2 linked regions of the Drosophila melanogaster genome follow. The protein of the gene in region 1 interacts with the protein of each later gene in a pairwise test. Each region holds a gene or a part of one and is shown on either strand. Other genes may lie near its edges.

The links.
Region 2: the proteins of CG34267 (region 1) and 140up interact in a two-hybrid assay, tested with the Drosophila melanogaster proteins (one large-scale study listed by BioGRID).

The regions. Positions count from the first base shown.
Region 1 is NT_037436.4:497,576-504,410, forward strand, and holds CG34267 (uncharacterized protein), read right to left. Parts: upstream 2,877-6,835; 5' UTR 2,799-2,876; coding exon 2,787-2,798; intron 2,724-2,786; coding exon 2,502-2,723; 3' UTR 2,439-2,501; downstream 1-2,438. Other genes in the region: CG34268 (uncharacterized protein), read left to right, coding at 3,450-3,461, 3,525-3,764.
Region 2 is NT_033777.3:14,122,118-14,129,885, forward strand, and holds 140up (upstream of RpII140), read right to left. Parts: upstream 3,432-7,768; 5' UTR 3,360-3,431; coding exon 3,187-3,359; intron 3,124-3,186; coding exon 2,958-3,123; intron 2,897-2,957; coding exon 2,808-2,896; intron 2,746-2,807; coding exon 2,388-2,745; 3' UTR 2,071-2,387; downstream 1-2,070. Other genes in the region: twf (twinfilin), read left to right, coding at 595-619, 679-756, 858-1,633, 1,918-2,070; Polr2B (RNA polymerase II subunit B), read left to right, coding at 3,830-3,851, 3,979-6,147, 6,223-7,157, 7,217-7,621. UniProt on the Drosophila melanogaster protein: Chaperone protein involved in the assembly of the mitochondrial NADH:ubiquinone oxidoreductase complex (complex I). Essential for viability.

The DNA.
Region 1 (6,835 bases):
ATCTATACTGCCGATAAAAGAAATAAATTCATTGACTTTTAGATGATCAGAATTTTAACTGTCTTGTTTTAAATTGACAAAATACATACACACAGTTATTATAGTGTAATTTAAAATTGGCTTATTGTAGTTCACTATTTACAATTATAGCTTGACTCTTTCACTTGCATTTTCTCATCTAAGCAAAAGTGCACATCTCAAATATCCTTAGACCCTGGTAAGCCACTGACCCTCGCTGACGTTTAACGACTATTAACCCACGACAACCCTTAACACTTGGCACCTATCGCCCACCAAAATCCTCACTCTTCCGCCTTTCGAGACCACCGGCTTTGATTTCTCAGAAGCCCCACAACCACCGTTTTGCACATATTTCTACTTAGTGCAACAACTTTAAACGGCAACTTACCAAAGTAAAGCAAAACTCAGATGAGGAAAACTGGGGGAGCAGAAAAAAGGAAAACTTTTACCACAAATCGGATTTCCTGCATCGATTTGTGGTCTTCGCACGCGCCTCGAACTGAAAACTAATGCATAAAGTAGATCATAGAGCAACGACTGCCTTTTAAAAGATCTCATCTCTTCGAAACGAGAGCGACCAGAATCCCAGCTCGATATATAAGAATCAAAGACAACGCACAACACGAATGCCAGAGATATTTCCCAAGGAAATAGAAGAGATTCTTGTGCTGGCCCCGCTTTTCCAAGAAGCCATCCAAAGCCAGAAGAAGGAAACGTGTGCGAGGCTGACAAGTTTTTCCCTTATTTGCTATTTGTCGGCCGCGCCACAAGCATATGGATGACATCGACGTTAAGTCCAGTTTGCCAGGCCGGAGTGCTCTTAAAGACTTTGTGGAGAAAGATTGGAAAATCAATCACATATCTGACTGAGAGATGGGGAGGAAAATTCGCTCAGGTTTTGGCTTTAAGTTTTACTCAATGGAAGTAAAATAAGTGATGAATGCTATTGAACTTTTCAAAAACTTTAATAGTTAAAACAGGATCATGATCTCATCGAACTCGTTCATAGTCCTTCAACATCCATTAAAGTGCGAACTATTAAAGTCAAAAGCTGCCTGTAACTTATTCTATTTATGAGCCCATCTTAACTAGAGAGCCCTGTTATATTCAATGGTTACTGGGTGTGGAGAACAAGTTTCGCCCGAAGTCAACGCCTGATTCCAGCATTCCACCTCCTGACAACGTGCCAAAATAGCCCTGAAGGTTTCTATGGAAGGGCCCAACTCCAAACTAATTGCCTGGGCACGCCTTTAACTTCTTCACAAAATGGGGAAGGGGATCTCATCAAGCGCCAATGCATATTCATAGTCATAACGAGATTTGAGGTCTGCCATGTTCACACAATCTTCCTCTTCTCCGCCGACTTGAGACATAACTCATAACTGCACAATTACCTGATTATTTTAATTAGCCTAAAAATAAAATTAAAATAAAAAAGTTGAGCAAGTGCAGGAAAAAATTGAGGTGACAACACATAGGAAATGTCTAAATATACGAACAAACGCTGGCGATAGCATAAATCACCGGCGAGGGGAAACAGGGAAACTGTAACTGCAAACAAGTTAATGAATGTATCTGTGGGATACATCTGCATGGAGAGAAAGACTCGACAAATAGAGTTGGCCGAAAAGCAAAAGGCGGCTATAAAAAGCGTTAACAAGACAACAACAGCAATTGGCGAACAATAAAATACACTTAGCAGCCGAAGAAGAAGCGAATAACCACTAAATTGCTGTTAACAATTCTTGGAGTGCCCAGCCAAGCCAGTCAGCAAAGGCAAATACATTTTTCTGTCTGCCAAAAGTGGGTCAGCAAGAAAAGCCTCCCCCTTTCCATTTTATAGAAGTCTTCAATGCCAGCCGCAAGCGTTTTCATCAGCCAACTCTGCAAACGCAAACTCTTTCTCTCGCGTGTTAGTTAGATTTTAACTACCGTTTAAGAAGTATCGTACGGCTACTCTCAACTCTTCGCAACTGAACTCCACTCCGCTCCGCTCCTCTTGGCGTCCATTAATCACCTTCAGTCGGTGCAAAGAGTCAATTCACCAGCGAACAGCCTGCCAAATGTGTTCCACGCAACTGCTCAATCTCCGTATCTTTTGGGTGCCTGGAACGAGGCGCACATTTGGCTTTTATCACTCGATCCGCACCAAATAAACTACAAAGCCCCTAACGCGAAAACAGAGAAAAACGTATTTGTGTTCCAGATTTTGGCGCATTTACGGCTTGCGTAAAAATTTCCGATCGGACCAGACCGAAGAAAATTCTGTTGCAGCTCTTAATGGGTTGTTGGATACAAAAACTCGGCGGGACATGAGAAAATAATCCGCACACACTGCAAATACTGCGAATAAATCACAGAAGTTGTAAACTCATTTGAAGTGCATTTGATTTGAGACAAGTAAGTCAAATATGATTCCTTTTACAAGCATAAACATTTTATTTATTCCCGTGCGATATCGATTGAGCTCTTTCCAAAATTTAACCGTGGTAGATGTGGTGTCCATAGGTGGGAACAGCGTAGGACTTCAGCACAGGGACATGCTGAACCACTGGGACATTCTTCACCACCGGAACGTGCTGCACCACTGGAACAGATTTCACCACGGGCACCACTTGGGCTACAGGAACCACACCGTAGGAGGGCTCAATGTAACCAGGAGCAGCAAAAGCCATTGCTACCAGGGCGAAGATCACAGCGATCTAAGGAGATATTTTGTAATATGAAAAATCACAAGGATTTACTTTATAATTTCGTGAACTTACAATGCGGAACATTTTGGTATTTTCTTAGTAATTTACAAACTTGACTTGGAGATATTGTCACTTGGATGCTTGTAGGACGACTGGTGATGCTGACCAATGGATCAGTTACTTTATATAGCCAAAAATCACTTCAATAACAACTTCTAAATGGGCAAACGTGTTTGGCCATAATTCTTCTGTTTAATTGAGAGAATGGATTTATCAGTTGACCCAAAGGTGCCTCATATAGGTCTTTTTTTGTGGACATGACCTTGGTTCTTGGTGATCATCACAAACGCGTGAAGACGATCGATATAATGACAATGGTCTTGGAAGTAAACAATAATAAGCACACGGATCTAAAAACAGCAAACAATTGAGAAGTCATTGAATGGGGATTATGTCCAAAGGTTAAGCAATAACGACCGATAACGGGAAGTTCGCCGCTGGAGATGGTTTCATACCAAATAGAATGCGCATTATTCGAAGATACCAAATTTAAGATAATTAAACTGGTTTGGCGCGTGGCGTTCGAACAGAAGTCATTTGTGGGCTATTTTCGGCTGAGGTGCTAACTACTATATATAATGATTCCACGGATGGTCAATCAACAACAGTCGTCCGGCTAACACAAACGTTCGATAACCACAAGTTAAAGTTTTTAACTCACAACAAAATACCAAAATGTTCCGCATTGTAAGTTCACGAAATTATAAAGTAAATCCTTAGGATTTTTCATATTACAAAATATCTCCTTAGATCGCTGTAATCTTCGCCCTGGTAGCAATGGCTTTTGCTGCTCCTGGTTACATTGAGCCCTCCTACGGAGTGGTTCCTGTGGCCCAGGTGGTGCCCGTGGTGAAATCTGTTCCGGTGGTGAAGCATGTTCCAGTGGTGCAGCATGTTCCGGTGGTGAAAAATGTCCCAGTGGTTCAGCATGTCCCTGTGCTGAAGTCCTACGCTGTTCCCACCTATGGACACCACATCTACCATGGTTAAATTATTGTAGCACAACCCCATTAGAAATTGACCCGACATAAATAAATTGCCAACCAAATCGAACTTATCTTTATTTTCTGGTATAGAGCGAGGATAAACTTTTGGGTCATGCCATCGGGACTGGCTTAATTTTTATACTTACAATTAAATGATGCATGTTTTTTCCTACATCAAGGAAATAATTCTCGTAAAAATTACGTACCCAACACCCTTTCGTGGTCAGCACTTTCCATTTTACACATTTTATAGCAACTAAAGTTGTCCGCAGACCCCAGTGGTTTCCATGGCTGACTGATTATTTTATGGGACATTTTGTAAAATTTAATTTCACCTCGCTCATTTTGTTATTTGCGAATAGTCACACATAAAGTCGTTAACAAGGCGGCAAGCTTCCAGGGGAAATTTCTTCATTAATCAGCGGAATAAAGTGACGCCTCTAAACTGCAGCTGCATCTTCTCCACCTCCCCCCCTCCCACCACCCCTTACCCGACAGACGTTGCCATTAAAACCCAATCCCAGCTCGTCTTTAATTTGAGCCAATTAAAGTGGCGACAAAGCAAAGCCTTACAGCCCGCTTCAAACACTCTGAGCCAGCCGCCTTTCCCTTTGGCTTTTTCCCCGGTTGCGGTTCGATCTCGTGTCGATGATGAACCTGAATGGATCGTACATTAATTTTTCATTGTTTTTTATTTGGGGCTTTATTCGGGTTATTAAATCGCTGGCTAGAAAAACTCTCAAGCGATTTGGTAAAACAAAAAAAAAAAATAACATCGAAATAAGCAGACAAAAATATAAAAATAAATTGTGTTCGAAAGTCAATTTTGTGAACAGGCTTTTTGGGCCTTTTTTGTGGCAGGTTTTGTTTTTTCTATTGCCAAAAGATTTATTGTTAGCGTTTTCTTCTTAATTTTCCCCACATTTCATTTCGGTTTCGATTTTCAGTTTCAGCTTTGTTTTTCAGCCTGCTGCTACCATTCAGGTTCCACTTCCTTTTCAGTTTAAAGTAAATTTCTCGGCCAGAGTTGGGCAATTTTATTACTCTATTAGGGGGAAAAAATAGTAATTTGCTGCTCGATTATGACGAAATCATTTGATCCGCTTCACATGTGACGTCGTCTTTTTGTTGGGCCTGTCTCTCCTTTTGTGTGGTTTCTTTTTTGTCTGTGGTAATGACTTCATCGTCGCCCAGCTACCCAATCCTATCCTATCCGCAGCTCATTTGATAAATTATCCAACAGTTTGTAATAATATTTTTCGTAGCCGCTCAGGGGGAGTTGCCTTCGATGCTTTTGTTTTCATTTTGTTAATTATCCGCTATAATTGTTAATTTAAATTATGAAGGAAAGTGAAACTCAATTGAACTTGAGAGACCCCCCCCCCCCCCCCTTCAGTCCATCTCTATCTCGTGTGTTATTCTCTTGTGGATTTGGGCGTGTTTCCGATCGATGAAGCAGAGAAATGTTTTTCGATCGTATTGGATTTGGAGTTAGATTCGCCCCAGTCAGCCGTTTTAGCCGTATTAACAAATTGTTTGTTTCAATGTTTCGATAATAGTGTAATCAAGTTACAAATAGCGTAGCTCTTTTTAGTGCAATTTCAAACACTCGTAGCTGCTTTTAGTACCTCGCGACCTTTAATCAACACCTCAACTGCTAAATGACTGCACGTGACTGCACATTACAATTCAGTTAGGCTCAAGTTCAACTGAACTACGCCAAATAAAATGGAAAGTTTATTTAAAGGTTCATTTAACGCGAAAGTTGAACTATAACCGAACCGAACTGGGCAGCAGTCGTAACTGAATTTTAAGTGGTCTTGCACTTAAACTACTTGAACTACTCTCCGACTGGGCTAATTCGGTGGTAAATGTTTTATTGCCGCCCAGCAACTGCAGCTGGCCACTTGGGCCGCATCCGAGTCGAAATTGGAGTCCAGACTGAAGCTGGAGCTGGAGCTGCAGCTAACTTATTGGGCGAAAGGTTACAGTCAGCAATTGTTATGCAAATCTGGCGGAGGGAGATTGCCGCGAACACAATGGACACCCATTCGATAGAATCGGACAAGCGGCCAGCCAGTCCAGGCCAGGCCAGCGGACCAAATCGCAATTCGAAAATCCCCATTCCGAATCCTATCGAGGCGAAACATTCAAACATGAAATTATGACTGCCATAAAGTGGAGCACTTCCTCGACTCCCGCACACAAATCGGAATTGTCAATGCGATTATATGGTCGCAGCGCTTAGCTAATCGCGCGGCCAGACTCCAAATTGCACCACCTTCACTTTTCCTGCGGCTTTTCCAGGGAAGCCACGGCAACCAGGGAAAACAAACTCATTCCCCCCGCTTTATCATGCTGCCTGCTGCTTGTCTTGACCATTTTCGGAGGCCCAAGTTTTGCGGAAAACAAAGACATCCTGTCGTTTCAGGCGACAGGGAACATGAGTGCTTACACCTCGGTTGACCAGAACAGCGAATGCCTAAAACACTTTGCTTGCCCATTAGTTAGTCCATCAGTTCATGTGCTTGTTAAAGAGTTGATCGTCGATTACCATAGGATTGCAACCACTTAGTGGAGAAGGTACAATGTGGTTGTCAGGAATCTTGTATTGAAGTGTTGAAAAATTCAAGTAATTAACTTTGGAGAAACTGAAGTTTCTTGTCAGTTTCTTGTCCTTTCCAAACTTTTTTCCACATAATACAAATAAATTTCAAGCATCGGAAAAATATATAAGGAGATTGCAGCCAGCACCTTGGGGAACCAGCAAAGATCTCAGCTCGTTATGGCCATTGACATTGTCCGGCATCTGACAAATTTTTGGATTTTGCTTCACGGCGATCATCTCTCAATCTCAATTTTGGACCCAATCTCGATCGCCATCTTCCCCGGCTGCCAATCCATTTGGTCTGTGGCCAGTAGCTGTGGGGCTTGATTGCGTCGATCGGTTTGTGTGGAATTGGAATTGGAAGTGGAACTCTAGTTAACAGTTGAGACCTGGACACCGAATGCGTGTCTCCGCCCCCGGGAACTGCAGAAGCAACAACTGCAGCCGCAAACAATTGACAGAGACAA
Region 2 (7,768 bases), on another chromosome or scaffold:
GGCAAACGGGAAACGAAAACCCAATTAAATTCCTCGCTTTTCCGCACTTTTCACGCCCGTAAACATTTGGGGCGTGGGCTGGCCTCTGCCGACGTCGACGCCCAGCTGCTCCAGTTGATCGCTGGAGCGGTTTAATCGGACGAATCTCGCGTGCACTCACTTTATTGACTATGCGATTGCACAACAGATGCTTTTCCGGGCTAGTTGCTACGTTTTAAATGCAGTTAAATGCAGTTTTTCATTACATTTTCCGTGAAAAAAGAAAGAACGCTGGCCTGTGCTGCAAAGTACTGGAGCTTGAAGAATTTTTCAACACTGTATCAGTGCAGACACATTTGGTATTATTTTTGAAATGTATGTTCTATAAAACAGAGTGTTAAAAATTTTCCCAAAATTTAGTTATAAAAATAGCATTACAGTATCTTTTTAATTAATAATTCTTTTTTTTTTACACATTTAAAGCCGCTTTGAAGTGATTGCCAATCAGAATCGGTACATATTTCCCGGTTTAGTATTTCCCTACTCGCGCTTTGCGGTCACACTGGTTGTGAGTAATATATTTTTTCGGCAATATTAATTTTAGCTGTTGTCCAAATGTCTCACCAAACGGGTATCCGAGGTTTGTTATCTTTGGGAACCACCTAATCCGCATCCTTAGAACACCCTTTGTATTTTCAGCCAACGAGCAGCTGGCCAAGGTGTTCGGCAAAGCGAAGAATGGTAAATTTCGCGTGATAAAAGTTTCGATCGAGAATGGTGAGTGGATTTAATCCAGAAACGTATATACACAAGATATATACTAGGCATACGATTTGATAACGAACCCGCATCCGTTTTCACCCCGCCCCAAATTACAGAGCAGCTTAGTTGCGGCGCCACGGCGGAGACGAAAAAGGATTGGGAGCGCGACTACGACAAGCTTATAGGTCCCCTACTGGAAAAGGATGTGCCCTGCTATATTCTCTATCGCCTGGACGCCAAGATCCCGCTGGGCTACAGTTGGCTACTTATCAGCTGGACGCCGGACACGGCCAGCATCCGACAGAAGATGGTATACGCTTCCACGAAGGCCACGTTGAAAACGGAGTTCGGATCAGCATACATCACAGAGGAGCTGCATGCCACCACTCTGGATGAGTGCACGCTGGAGGGCTATCGCCGGCACAAGCAGGATTTCGCAGCCCCAGCTCCATTGACCAGCAGGGAGGAGGAGCTGAAAGAGCTGCGAAAGACAGAGGTTCACACTGAGATCAATACGAATACGCGGCACCAAACTCTGGGTGGGATCAATTGCCCGCTGAGCGAGGCAACCGTGGCTGCCGTTCAGGATTTGGTGCGCGGCAAGCACGACTACCTTCAGTTCCGCATCGATCTGGAGGAGGAACAGATCCATGTTTCGCGTGCGGCCAAAGTGGAGCTCGCCGATCTGCCGAAGCAAGTGCCCGAGGATCATGCACGATACCACCTCTTCCTGTTTCGGCACACGCACGAGGGCGACTACTTTGAGTCGTACGTGTTCGTCTACTCCATGCCTGGATATTCCTGCTCCGTGCGCGAGCGCATGATGTACTCAAGCTGTAAGGCTCCTTTTCTCGACGAGCTCGCGGCCCTTGGCGTGGAGGTTGTTAAGAAGGTGAGTTGATATGAATGCGAGTGGGTGTGGCTGCGCTAATAGCACTAAAGATTAGGGCTATAAAAAGCAAAAGCAGGGTATATATTGTTTGTGATTTATTTATTGCTTTCAAATCGCCACATTCACTATACTTTTGATTCACGATCTCTAGAAATATTTTGAATCATAATTAGGGCGAATGTCTCACTTTTCACTTGAAATAGAAATCTGTAAATCATAAATAATGAGTAATTTTAAATCATACTAAATCTGATTCATGTTTCTAACAACGTTTTACATTTCAGCTTGAAATCGACAGCGGCAGCGAGCTGACCGAAGCCTTCTTGCAGGACGAGCTGCACCCAAAGAAGATTCTACACCGACCGGCTTTTGCCAAGCCCAAGGGGCCACCAAACCGAGGCGCCAAGCGCCTCACGCGTCCCACCGCAGAGGACTAAGTCTGAATCCCGATCCCACCGAGTCAATTCTGTTTATCGCCCTTCTACGTACTGTTTCCTAGCAGAGCATTTAATTTATTGTATCCAATCGTTTATTTCTTTTGTGTTGTGTCTATCCCGTGTCTATATGTGTCCGTACGTCAGTCGATATCTTTAGAGGCACTAGGCATCAACTGAAACATCGCATAGCAGCCGCCAAAGTGGGCTTCCTTAAATGTATTCTTGTCTATGTAACTTTAGATGGACATATATGCAATTTATTTAAATTAAAAAAAGTAACTAAGTTCACACTGGCGTCTTCTTTAAGTCCTCAGGACTCACTTGATCGTGTCCAGCGATACATGTTCGGATGTTTTCTCGTCGTGGGCCTTGAAAAGCTCTGGGTTTTCGTCCTCTGTCAGTTTTTTGAACGCCTGTTGAATGTTTTCGTCGCGATCGAGTCGCCATTTGTACTGCCAGTAGCGAACCTCTTCCATCGAGGTCCCTGATGCTTTCATCAGCAGCAGCGACGTCACACCAGCCACGCCGCCCAAGAAACCTCCAATGATTCCACCTGCCGCCATGCCCCGCAGACCAAGACTCACTTTGTAAAGCGAGCCGGTGATGGAACCAGCGGCCAAGTATTCGTAGATTGAGGATTTTCCACGGTACACCGACATACAAGTGATGATGCCGCTGTAAGGAACACATTTTTGTATCACACAGATACAGATTTGAATTCGTGTTGCTGAACTTACAAGTAGGATGTGGTAAAAAGTCCCACTCGCCAGCCCCATTTGAAGCCGCCTTTGGCAAAGTTGACTGTGAATTGATCTTGCAGCTTTTTCTGTAATTATGATTAAAAACTTGATTATAACATATTTAAATGATAATACGTAGATACCTACCTTGGCATCAAAGTGCGATTTAAATGCTGTGGCCTGGTTGTTCTCCATGAAATTCATGTAGGCCACGCGCGATTGTGTAACTCCGCCGTAAATAGCTCCAATAAGGAATCCTAGGAAGCCGGCCTGGTAAACCGAGTTAAGCTCGGAGGATATGCTGCCAAACTCGCTATTTAAATGTTTATGTACGGTCAGTAGATTTTAGTATAAATGGAATTCTTAGTTTTCCTACTCGATTGTAAACATTTGCTTGAGGCGCTCCAGTCCTGTTTCCTCTGGTGGTTTACTGGCCAGAAAGGCCTTGTATGTTTTGTTTTCCTTATCGACTATTTCATCTGCGGCGCCTTCGAATGTTGGCAGGATGCCTGCGATCAGAAACCGGCGTCCTTTCCACAGAAAATTCATTTTTTAAGCGTGTTAAATAACCAAGTAAAACGAGTACAACAATCTCAGCTGTTTGCCGGTCTGTTAGTGTTGGAAAGTGTGCGTGTCATTGGTGTTGGCAAACTCTCGGTTTAATTGTTTTTAATTTAAATGCGTTTGTTATTAATAAAATTATATTATTATAATAATTTAAGTTACATACTCATTTAGTTGTTCATATATTTTTTTCTTATATCATTCACACTTTTAAATTTATTTTGTTGCCAAAAACAATTTTATTGTGTTTACAAGTATTTGCTATAACTTTATGAACTGCACCTTGTGCTTTGCTTTTGCCGTTTACCAACACAGCACAACGCCGCTAATCGCGTTGTCGGCAAACATTTGTTGTGAAATTTTCTACGTTTTTACAATTTAATTCATTGCAAATCCAATTTATTGTTATTTACTTGAACGCATAAAGTGCTTCTGCACTTTAGAAAACTGAAATCATGATGTACGACAACGAGGAAGGTGAGTAAAATGAATTGCGAAAATTTGTGCATGCACGTTGGCGTGTACCAAAATTAATATGGCGGCTGGAGCGCTAGGGCTCCGCATTGTTAGCAATGAATTTCAATGGTCAAATAACATCTTGCAGAACTGTACGAGGAGGAGAATGCCGAGGAGATCTCTCACGAGCTGTGGCAGGAAGCCTGCTGGATCGTGATTAACGCGTACTTCGACGAGAAGGGCTTGGTGCGGCAGCAGCTGGACAGTTTCGATGAGTTCATTCAGATGTCGGTGCAGCGCATTGTGGAGGATTCCCCCGCCATTGAGTTGCAGGCGGAAGCGCAGCACACATCCGGAGAGGTGGAAACCCCGCCCAGATTCTCGCTGAAATTCGAGCAAATCTATCTTTCCAAGCCAACACATTGGGAAAAGGATGGTTCGCCCAGTCCTATGATGCCGAACGAGGCCCGCCTGCGAAATCTAACTTACTCCGCTCCTCTCTACGTGGACATTACGAAAACCAAGAATGTCGAGGGCCTGGATCCCGTGGAAACGCAGCATCAAAAGACTTTCATAGGCAAGATTCCCATCATGTTGAGATCAACGTACTGTTTGCTATCACAGCTTACTGATCGTGATCTTACGGAGCTGAACGAGTGCCCGTTGGATCCCGGTGGCTACTTCATCATCAACGGCTCCGAGAAGGTGCTAATTGCCCAAGAGAAAATGGCCACCAACACAGTGTACGTGTTCAGCATGAAAGATGGCAAGTATGCCTTTAAGACTGAGATTCGGTCGTGTTTGGAGCACAGTTCCAGACCCACGTCTACACTGTGGGTAAACATGATGGCAAGAGGATCGCAAAACATAAAAAAGTCAGCCATTGGTCAGAGGATTATTGCCATCTTACCGTACATCAAACAGGAGATACCCATTATGATTGTGTTTCGAGCATTGGGCTTCGTGGCCGATCGCGATATTCTGGAGCATATCATCTATGACTTCGACGATCCCGAGATGATGGAAATGGTGAAACCTTCTCTGGACGAGGCTTTTGTAGTCCAAGAGCAGAATGTTGCCTTGAATTTCATTGGAGCTAGAGGAGCACGTCCCGGAGTCACAAAAGACAAGCGTATAAAGTACGCTAAGGAAATTTTGCAAAAGGAAATGCTGCCCCACGTTGGAGTATCCGATTTCTGCGAGACCAAGAAGGCATACTTTTTGGGCTACATGGTTCACCGGCTGCTCTTAGCCTCTTTGGGCAGGAGAGAACTCGATGATCGAGATCACTATGGAAACAAGCGACTTGATCTCGCTGGACCCCTCCTGGCCTTCCTCTTCCGTGGTCTGTTCAAAAACCTGATGAAAGAGGTGCGCATGTACACACAGAAGTTCATCGATCGCGGAAAGGACTTCAACCTTGAACTGGCCATCAAGACTAATATTATTACTGATGGTTTAAGGTATTCCTTGGCCACTGGCAATTGGGGCGACCAGAAGAAGGCGCATCAGGCGAGAGCCGGTGTCTCCCAGGTGTTGAATCGCTTGACCTTCGCCTCTACTCTTTCCCATTTGCGGCGTGTGAATTCGCCAATTGGCAGAGACGGTAAACTGGCCAAACCTCGTCAGTTGCACAATACTCTTTGGGGTATGTTGTGTCCCGCTGAAACTCCTGAGGGAGCAGCTGTTGGTCTGGTGAAGAACCTGGCGCTCATGGCTTACATTTCTGTGGGATCACAACCTTCTCCCATTCTGGAGTTCTTGGAGGAGTGGTCTATGGAAAACCTGGAGGAAATTGCTCCTTCTGCCATCGCTGATGCTACAAAGATCTTTGTGAACGGCTGCTGGGTGGGCATACATCGTGATCCTGAGCAGCTCATGGCAACGCTTCGTAAGTTGCGTCGCCAGATGGATATCATCGTGTCAGAGGTGTCTATGATTCGAGACATTCGAGATCGTGAGATCCGAATCTATACAGATGCTGGTCGCATTTGTCGGCCACTTCTCATCGTGGAAAACGGATCGCTGCTGCTTAAAAAGACTCACGTGGAGATGTTAAAGGAGCGAGACTACAACAACTACAGTTGGCAGGTCCTTGTAGCCTCTGGAGTGGTGGAGTACATTGATACCCTTGAGGAGGAAACGGTCATGATCGCTATGTCTCCCTACGATCTGAAGCAGGACAAGGATTATGCTTATTGTACCACATACACACATTGTGAGATCCATCCAGCCATGATCCTGGGCGTGTGCGCGTCCATTATTCCCTTCCCCGATCACAATCAGAGTCCGCGTAACACCTATCAAAGCGCTATGGGTAAGTTTATGAGTATTCATTACTGTTCTACTTGAAATACTAATCCATTTATAACGTTTTTTTCATCTTTTATAGGTAAGCAAGCTATGGGCGTTTATATTACCAACTTCCACGTGCGTATGGACACACTAGCCCACGTACTTTACTATCCGATGAAGCCACTTGTGACCACACGTTCCATGGAGTACCTGCGTTTCCGAGAACTACCAGCTGGCATCAATTCAATCGTGGCTATTCTCTGCTACACTGGCTACAACCAGGAGGATTCTGTCATTCTGAATGCATCCGCTGTGGAGCGTGGATTCTTCCGCTCTGTGTTCTACCGATCATACAAGGATTCGGAGAACAAACGTGTCGGTGATCAGGAAGAGAACTTCGAGAAGCCTCATCGCGGCACCTGCCAAGGAATGAGAAATGCTCACTACGACAAGTTAGACGATGATGGAATTATTGCCCCAGGAATTCGTGTATCTGGCGACGATGTGGTTATTGGCAAGACCATTACCCTTCCTGAAAACGACGACGAACTGGACAGCAACACGAAGCGTTTCTCCAAACGAGATGCCTCCACTTTCCTGCGAAACTCTGAGACGGGTATTGTGGACCAGGTGATGCTTACGCTCAACAGCGAGGGCTACAAGTTCTGCAAGATTCGAGTGCGCTCGGTGCGTATTCCGCAGATCGGCGATAAGTTCGCTTCTCGTCACGGACAAAAGGGAACGTGCGGCATCCAGTACCGTCAGGAGGACATGGCCTTCACATGCGAGGGATTGGCACCCGATATCATTATTAACCCCCACGCTATCCCATCTCGTATGACAATTGGTCACTTGATCGAGTGTCTGCAGGGAAAACTGGGATCCAACAAGGGAGAGATCGGTGATGCTACACCCTTCAACGATGCCGTCAACGTGCAAAAGATCTCCACCTTCCTTCAGGAGTACGGCTATCATCTTCGAGGCAATGAGGTCATGTACAATGGCCACACTGGACGAAAGATTAATGCTCAGGTAAATTGCTTAACTTTCAACTTGCAATAATCTTAAACTAATCAGTCCCTTAACTACAGGTCTTCCTGGGGCCCACCTACTATCAGCGTCTTAAGCACATGGTGGACGACAAGATTCACTCTCGTGCTCGAGGCCCCGTCCAGATCCTGGTGCGTCAGCCTATGGAAGGTCGTGCTCGTGATGGTGGCTTGCGTTTCGGTGAGATGGAGCGTGATTGCCAGATCTCCCACGGCGCCGCTCAGTTCCTGCGAGAACGTTTATTCGAGGTCTCCGATCCGTACCGCGTACACATCTGCAACTTCTGTGGCCTGATTGCCATCGCCAATCTGCGCAACAATACGTTCGAGTGCAAGGGCTGCAAGAACAAGACGCAGATTTCCCAGGTGCGACTCCCATATGCGGCCAAGCTTCTCTTCCAGGAGCTGATGTCAATGAACATTGCGCCGCGCCTGATGGTCACCTAATCAGATCGGTATCCGCAACCGGACCACATAATAGCCCTAAGCTAAATGCTAGCAGTTAATTATTAAATTACCATAATTGTGACAACTCAATTATGTGCTTTGTGTGGCATTTTCTATTATTCCCGGAACTGGAGCGAATACCTGCCG